Xenopus tropicalis: one gene and its partner. The protein of the gene in region 2 binds, or shares a complex with, the protein of the main gene of each other region. Links are inferred from orthologs where the notes say so. Each region holds a gene or a part of one and is shown on either strand. Other genes may lie near its edges.

Region 1 (4,400 bases), on a different chromosome or scaffold from region 2:
CCCACAGGATGAGATTAGGCCTAAGGCATAAGGACAATCTCACGTGATGGCCAATCCTACCTGGGATGTCTCCCTCTCTATATGGTCCGATCTGAAGTGCCTGGTGCTGTTGCTCTCCTTGTTGAAGTCCCCAAGCAGTTTGTCGGCCATTTTCCTTGTTTTAGGGCTGATTTCCCATGTGGGGGTTGGGCAGTCGGGGCAGGTCTGGAGGATGGCGCTGGCAGGAACTGGGAAGATTGGAGCAAAACAACATCAGAATTTCCATTGCTGGTTTCTAACTGGGAGGAACATGTAGGGATGGGATGAAATAACTTCCATGTGAAGGTCTGGTGATGGGACTGGGCCTGGGGCATGGTATGAGGGCAATGTAGAGAATCAGCCCCACTTGCTACATTTACACTCACTTTCACACACTGCACTTGCTCCTAAGGAGCTGCCCTGATGCTGGATGCTTTGTAGAGCATGTAAAGGGCCACTTACCCCACTACAATCTGTTGAGCTGAGGCTATTGGCTACCAAGCCATAATGGCCTTTTGCTACTGCATTGCCTCACCATTGGATCCTTCCCTGAATTGGCCAATCCCCACTCTCTAGGTCCCATCCCCTTTGTTAACCTGTGCATGGTTCCTACCTGTCCCCCAGCTCTTAGAGAAACACCCACCCCAAGACTAAGGGAGATCCATCATTCCCTTCCTTTACTTACATGAAGACCAATTGCAAACTGTCTCAGAATAGTTCTGTCTACTTCATACAAGTTAAATGAAAGGTGAACTACCCTTTGAAAGCACAACTTTGTGGCCACAAAAGGTCAGGATCCATTAAAAACATAGTTACCCAACAGTTAACCCTTCGGTGTACCAAAGAACAAATAAACATTCACTTAGCAGTTCTTAGTCTCACTGGGTTTTACCTGCACCTCTAGGGAATAACCCACATAGACTACAGGTCATCACTTCCAAATTACTTGGGCTAAGGGGGCGCCATTTCATGTAACCAACAGATATTTATACTCGAATATCTCTGGTTCCTGTAGCCCATTGATAACTATAGATTTCAATGAGCATTGAGTTAGGTAGGAGAGGGATTGTGCCTAGGGCAACCATGGCTATATGTCTTCTATGTACTTGAACAACCTTTAGCATTTGTATTAAAGTGTTAGAGAACTCACCTTGGGGTAAGTATCAGTCACTCACTAAAATACTAATGATGTTCCATCGCCCTATTAGTATATTGCATGGGGGAAGCAAATGGAGGTCACAGGGTATTTGGGAGGTCTCACAACTCAGTAGATTGTCTCATTTTTCTCTTTAGTACTGACATGGAAATGTAATAAATGCCCCAAAAAATTTGCACCACATCTAGTAACCCATAGGAACCAACCTGCAGGCACCTGTTTGACACCAAGCATCTGATTGGTCACTGTGTGCTATTAGAGCAGGGGCACTCTGTATATATGATTTCATACTTTTGATTGGAGCTTCCATATTGCTGCTTTGGTGGAGTCAATTGACATAGAGTTGGACAGAGCACAGAAGACAATGAAAAACCCAGAGTGGGGGCAACACCCATTGTCTTTCTAGTGACTTAAATAGAAATAAGAACAACATGTAGGAGGGAATGGGCACCTGTGAGCCCAGTCTGTACCTGACGCAGTGGTGCAGTTGTAGTTCAGCAGCTTCTGTACCCTCCAGGGTAGGGATAGGAGAATAATAGCCTTACACTGGCCAAACACCTACGGCACAAAATAGACATAAGTAGCTGTACCTCCTACTTACTCCTTCCATTTATATAGAATATATACATATCTGAGCAGTGTGGCATCTGGGAAATGGGGGGGGGCAAGTCTTGGAGTCCAATCACATGTACAATAATAAAGCAGTTGTATGGCATTGAGCTGGCTGGCCAGTAGAGGTGGGACAATCAGGTCCCCTGGACCCATCATCATGTGTAAGTAAGTGCAGCTCATTATTAGTCTCAAGCATTTGGCCACTAGTCCTCTGTGACTTCAGTAGCCGTAGGGGGGCAGCTGGGCAGAGGGTTGGGAAGAACAGTGGTGCCATAGTGCAACTTACCCACAAATGGAAGGAGGAAGGCTCACTGCAATCTTTCCATGATTTCCCACTCAGGACAGAACAGGTGGTTTCCAGGACGTCTATGGTCAGGTAATATATGGTACTCGCTGGGTATAAATGGGACTGGACCTGAATCCAGAAACAGTTCTTAGTATCATATTATGCAATGAATACTTGTTCCTTTATCTGTCTGTAATCTGGATCTCTCTCTGTCTATCTGTGGGCCAGTGGGGAGCTTGGTGCTGGGGTTCTAGGTTCAATACAACTGGGGGGCAGTAGGAGTGTGCTGGGGTGTCCCAGGGGTTCCCTTAAGGGGGCAGATGATAAAAGTACAAACAATGTGCATAACCATTGCTGTAATAAACCCCCAAATGAACCAAGGTTGATGTCATATTTATCTTAAAGGGACCCCAAGGGCACTTACCTCCTGCTCCTGCGCCTCAACTACATGGAGGGGTTTGAAGACAAAACCAGTGCGCCGATCCTCATTGATCAAGTCCAGCGCTACCCCTGCTTCAAACTCAGTAGCATTGCAGTCTATTGGGCTCACAACAGGCGATAGTGGGCTCTCAGCCCGGCACAGGGGAACCAGCACACACAGAACCAGGATACACAGCCGCTCCATTGTGTCCTCACTCAACTGCTGATACCGTCTCCTCCTGGGGATGGAATTATATAGTGTTGCACTCTGGGATGGAGAGGGGGGTCTCTTTGCACAGTCTCATATAAAAGGTTAATGAGTACGTGGGGGCTGAGTTGCTAAAATAACAAAAGGGCAACAGGTCAGGGTCCTCAGTAGCAACACCCTGTTCTTACTACTATCTACTACTGTTTGTGTTTCAGCAGATTCCATTGGCCTTTGTTTGTTCTTAGCTCATCAGCCATCAAACCGCAGGGGCTTCCCTACCCATTCATTCCAGTGAGGGTAACTGGGTAACTCTTATTGGATTGTTCCAACCATGCAGATGGACATTATCAACATAAGGTTTCAGTTGGTCATAAAGTATCAGTGGTGATATATTCCTTGGGCATAGACATATTAGCAGTTTGTGCCAGACCAGGAGATGCAATGGGCAAGCAGCAGAACCCCTGCCAATCTATACATACAATACATATGGCTTTATTATTATTATTATTATTAACATTTATTTATAAAGCGCCAACATATCCCGCAGCGCTGTACAATAAGTGGGTTACATACATTGGACATACAGAGTAACATATAAAGCAATCAGTAACCGATACAGGAGGGGAAGAGAGCCCTGCCCAAAAGAGCTTACAGTCTACAAGGAGTAACATATAAAGCAATCAATAACCGATACAAGAGGTGAAGAAAGCCCTGCCCAAAAGAGCTTACACTCTACAAGGAGTAACATATAAAGCAATCAATAACCGATACAAGAGGTGAAGAAAGCCCTGCCCAAAAGAGCTTACACTCTACAAGGAGTAACATATAAAGCAATCAATAACCGATACAAGAGGGGAAGAGAGCCCTGCCCAAAAGAGCTTACAATCTACAAGGAGTAACATATAAAGCAATCAGTAACCGATACAAGAGGGGAAGAGAGCCCTGCCCAAAAGAGCTTACAATCTACAAGGAGTAACATATAAAGCAATCAATAACCGATACAAGAGGGGAAGAGAGCCCTGCCCAAAAGAGCTTACAATCTACAAGGAGTAACATATAAAGCAATCAGTAACCGATACAGGAGGGGAAGGGATCCCTGCCCAAAAGAGCTTACAATCTACAAGGAGTAACATATAAAGCAATCAATAACCGATACAAGAGGGGAAGAGAGCCCTGCCCAAAAGAGCTTACAATCTACAAGGAGTAACATATAAAGCAATCAGTAACCGATACAGGAGGGGAAGGGATCCCTGCCCAAAAGAGCTTACACTCTACAAGGAGTAACATATAAAGCAATCAGTAACCGATACAGGAGGGGAAGGGAGCCCTGCCCAAAAGAGCTTACACTCTACAAGGAGTAACATATAAAGCAACCAGTAACCGATACAGGAGGGGAAGAGAGCCCTGCCCAAAAGAGCTTACACTCTACAAGGAGTAACATATAAAGCAATCAGTAACCGATACAGGAGGGGAAGGGAGCCCTGCCCAAAAGAGCTTACAATCTACAAGGAGTAACATATAAAGCAATCAGTAACCGATACAGGAGGGGAAGGGAGCCCTGCCCAAAAGAGCTTACACTCTACAAGGAGTAACATATAAAGCAATCAGTAACCGATACAGGAGGGGAAGAGAGCCCTGCCCAAAAGAGCTTACACTCTACAAGGAGTAACATGTAACATATATGGCTTCTATCTATTCCC
Region 2 (3,407 bases):
ACTCTGGCCCCATTGGCAGCACTGCCCTCCTCGAGTCCCGGATCCTGTACCCCAAGCGATCCGAGCAGTGCTTGCAGTTCTTCTACAAGATGGATGGAAGTTCCCAGGACAGACTAGTGATCTGGCTAAAGACAGATGATGGTGCCGGAAATGTTAGAAAGATGAGGAAACTTCACACCATTTATGGTACTGTCAGCACTAAAATGGGGCACTTTAATGTTTCTGGGCCACATTGATGAAGTGTCCTTGTGGTAGCAGGATGCCACCCTTACACCAGTATCAATACATAACTGCTAGAAATGCTAGCCAAAATTTGGGGCTAGAGGTGGGGTCTGAACATTTCTGGCTGTATGTTGGGTGGGTTAAAGGAACAGTTCAGCGTAAAAATGAAACTGGGTAAAGACTGCGCAAAATAAAAAATATTTGTAATATAGTTAGTTGGGCAAAAATGTAATCTATAAAGGCTGGAGTGAGTAGATGTCTAACATAATAGCCAGAAGACTGCTTCCCCCTTTACAGCTCTCTAAGCTGTTAGCAGGCAGTAGCCAACCAGTGACTTGAGGGAGGGCCATATGGGACATAACTGTCAGTTAGTTTGTATTTGAATCTGTCCCATATGGACCCCCTCAAGTACTGATTGGTTCTGGCTTTTATCGTAGACATCTGCCCACTCCAGCCTTTATGGATTACATTTTTGCCTAACTAACTATATTGAAAACTTCTTTTATTTTGCGCAGTCTGTCTATTTATCCCGTTTTCATTTTTACACTGAACTGTTCCTTTAAGGGCATGGTCCTTTTTCAGGAGGATGTATGATTTATATATAGTGAGTTCCACTAAGCCCTGGGTTATGCTTAATGACTACCTCTCTGCTGAACATAATATAGATATATGTTTTCGGAAAAGATAATCAATTTACTAACTTTTTAATACGCACTGAAGAGCATATCTACTTATCTTGACCCGTATATACAGCACCGAATCAGCAGTTAATCAGAGTTAATGAGCATTCCATATCTGTTAATAAACAAATCATTAAGGTTGAGGAGACTGCCGCATACAGATACAAATGAACAAAAGGAATTCTGGGAAATGAATTCCAAGCTCCTAAAAAAAACATGGTTTTATCCTATAGGCTAAAGCTCACCCACTGCCTATAGGATAAACCCATGTAAATGGGATTTTTTATTAGGAGTTTGGAATTCATTCCCAGAATTCCTTTTGTTCATATATAGATTGTAAGCTCTACAGGGCAGGGACCTCCATCCTCTTGTGTCTTTGACTCTTAACTTATTGCAACTGTACCTTGTATTTATCTGTATTTATTGTTATACTTTGTATTTATCTATTATCTTATTAACCCCCTGTTTGTATTAATGTATCCTACTGTACAGCGCTGCGTATATAAGTAGCACTTTATAAATAAACATATACATACATATCTGTTAATAGTAATATAACCTTCAGACTTTTTCTCTTTTTAGGTGATAGTGACCGAAGCTGGAAAATTGCTCACGTGACCCTCAACGCCAATAAAAAGTTCCGCTACGTCTTCCAAGGAATCCACGGTAATAACAAGACCAGCGGCGGTATATCCCTCGATGATATCAGCCTCACTGAAACCCCATGCCCCAATACTGTATGGCGCGTGAAGGATTTCTCCAAAATCCTGGAAAGCACAACTAAAGGAGATCGTATAATGAGCAATCCTTTCTACAGCCCCGAGGGGTACGCCTATGGCATAACCATTTACCCCCATGGACAAGCATCATCGCCCTATGTCAACTACACGGGGATCTCGTTCCACATGATCAGCGGAGAGGACGATGATGTCATGGAATGGCCGGCCTTGAACAGACAGGCGATCATCACAGTGCTCGACCAGGACCCCAATGTACAGCACAGGATGTCGTCCAGCAGGAGTTTCACAACCCTGAGTTCTCAAATCATAGAATGTAAGCTCCTTAGGTTCAGACGTCACCAAAATTGCTGTTACTAAGCGGCCCCCCAGTTGCTAGGTTATGGGGGGGGGGAAGTGGGAAGAGCAGGGATCAGTTTCTATCTGGGAAAGATATGTGACCCACCATTGTCAGAGGAGACCCTGTTCCAAATAAGCTCTTAGTGCCATTAACGATTTCCCCAAAGTTGTAAAAGGGAAACTGTGTACTAAATGAATGAGTACTAGAACCAGAGTTGCTTTATATCATATAAAGAGCCTATTATAGAATCTAGCCAAACTGGAATATATATATCAGTAAATATTGCCCTTTTACATCCTTTCCCTTGAGCCGCCATTTTGTGATGGGCTGTGTGTTCCCTCAGAGATCAGCTGACAGGAAGTGATGCTGCTCTAACTGTAACAGGAAGTAGTGTGGGAGCAAAAGGCTGAACTCCGGCCCATTCATTGGCTGATGGGGCCTAGCATGTATGTGTGCCTTGGCTTGTTTGTGTGCACTGTGACTCCTATGATCCCAGGGGGCGGCCCTTAGTACTTAAAATGGCAGTTTCCTATTTAGGATTACCCAATGGCACATACTTCAGGGACAGTCATACATTTGCGCTTCTGTGCCGAAATTTTTTGAATAAGCTTTCTGTGTTTCTGTGCAGCAATGAATAACATATCACGCTGGGAAAGGCCTTCCCTCATTGGAACGTTCGATCCTACGTGTGACTGCTACAGAACCCCTGACTTTGGCTGGAGCACCTTTATATCCCACAGCCAGTTGCACAGGAGGAACTTCCTGAAGAACGACGATCTGATCCTGTTTTTGGAATTCGAAGGTATGTTTCTATTTATGTAAGAAAAAAATGGTGCCTATAGTAGCAGTGGGGGGATAATAGCCTCTGGGGCTGGGGCTGTGGGATAGCAGGTATAGTAGGGAGAGATGGTGCCTATAGTAGCAGTGGGGGGATAATAGCCTCTGGGAAGGGACTGGGGCTGTGGGATAGCAGGTATAGTAGGGAGAGATGGTGCCTATAGTAGCAGTGGGATAATAGCCTCTGGGAAGGGACTGGGGCTGTGGGATAGCAGGTATAGTAGGGAGAGATGGTGCCTATAGTAGCAGTGGGATAATAGCCTCTGGGAAGGGACTGGGGCTGTGGGATAGCAGGTATAGTAGGGAGAGATGGTGCCTATAGTAGCAGTGGGGGGATAATAGCCTCTGGGAAGGGACTGGGGCTGTGGGATAGCAGGTATAGTAGGGAGAGATGGTGCCTATAGTAGCAGTGGGATAATAGCCTCTGGGAAGGGACTGGGGCTGTGGGATAGCAGGTATAGTAGGGAGAGATGGTGCCTATAGTAGCAGTGGGATAATAGCCTCTGGGAAGGGACTGGGGCTGTGGGATAGCAGGTATAGTAGGGAGAGATGGTGCCTATAGTAGCAGTGGGGGATAATAGCCTCTGGGAA

The links.
Region 1: the proteins of mep1a (region 2) and fetuin-B are in contact, whole or in part, in a cryo-EM structure (PDB 7UAI), measured with the Homo sapiens proteins. The link is inferred for Xenopus tropicalis from reciprocal best matches to the Homo sapiens genes MEP1A and FETUB. Residues at the interface, in NP_005579.2 of Homo sapiens: Asp126, Gly127, Cys128, Trp129, Ser130, Glu131, Val132, Gln145, Gly146, Cys147, Tyr149, Ile152, His155, Glu156, His159, Tyr164, His165, Gln167, Ser168, Leu184, Gly186, Tyr187, His189, Asn190, Asp192, Tyr194, Tyr214, Gln215, Phe217, Ser218; in NP_001362516.1 of Homo sapiens: Phe109, Phe110, Lys144, Lys145, Tyr148, Met149, Thr150, Cys151, Pro152, Asp153, Cys154, Pro155, Ser156, Ser157, Ile158, Ser196, Ser197, Gln198, Trp199, Val200, Val201, Gly202, Tyr205, Phe206, Thr242, His245, Trp246, Phe249, Val250, Ser251.

Annotation. Positions count from the first base shown.
Region 1 is NC_030677.2:1,141,992-1,146,391, forward strand, and holds the start of fetuin-B, read right to left. Parts: upstream 3,079-4,400; 5' UTR 2,698-3,078; coding exon 2,497-2,697; intron 2,202-2,496; coding exon 2,073-2,201; intron 1,733-2,072; coding exon 1,645-1,732; intron 228-1,644; coding exon 61-227; intron 1-60. UniProt on the Homo sapiens protein: Protease inhibitor required for egg fertilization.
Region 2 is NC_030681.2:146,900,919-146,904,325, reverse strand, and holds part of mep1a (meprin A subunit alpha precursor), read left to right. Parts: coding exon 1-186; intron 187-1,484; coding exon 1,485-1,955; intron 1,956-2,607; coding exon 2,608-2,781; intron 2,782-3,407.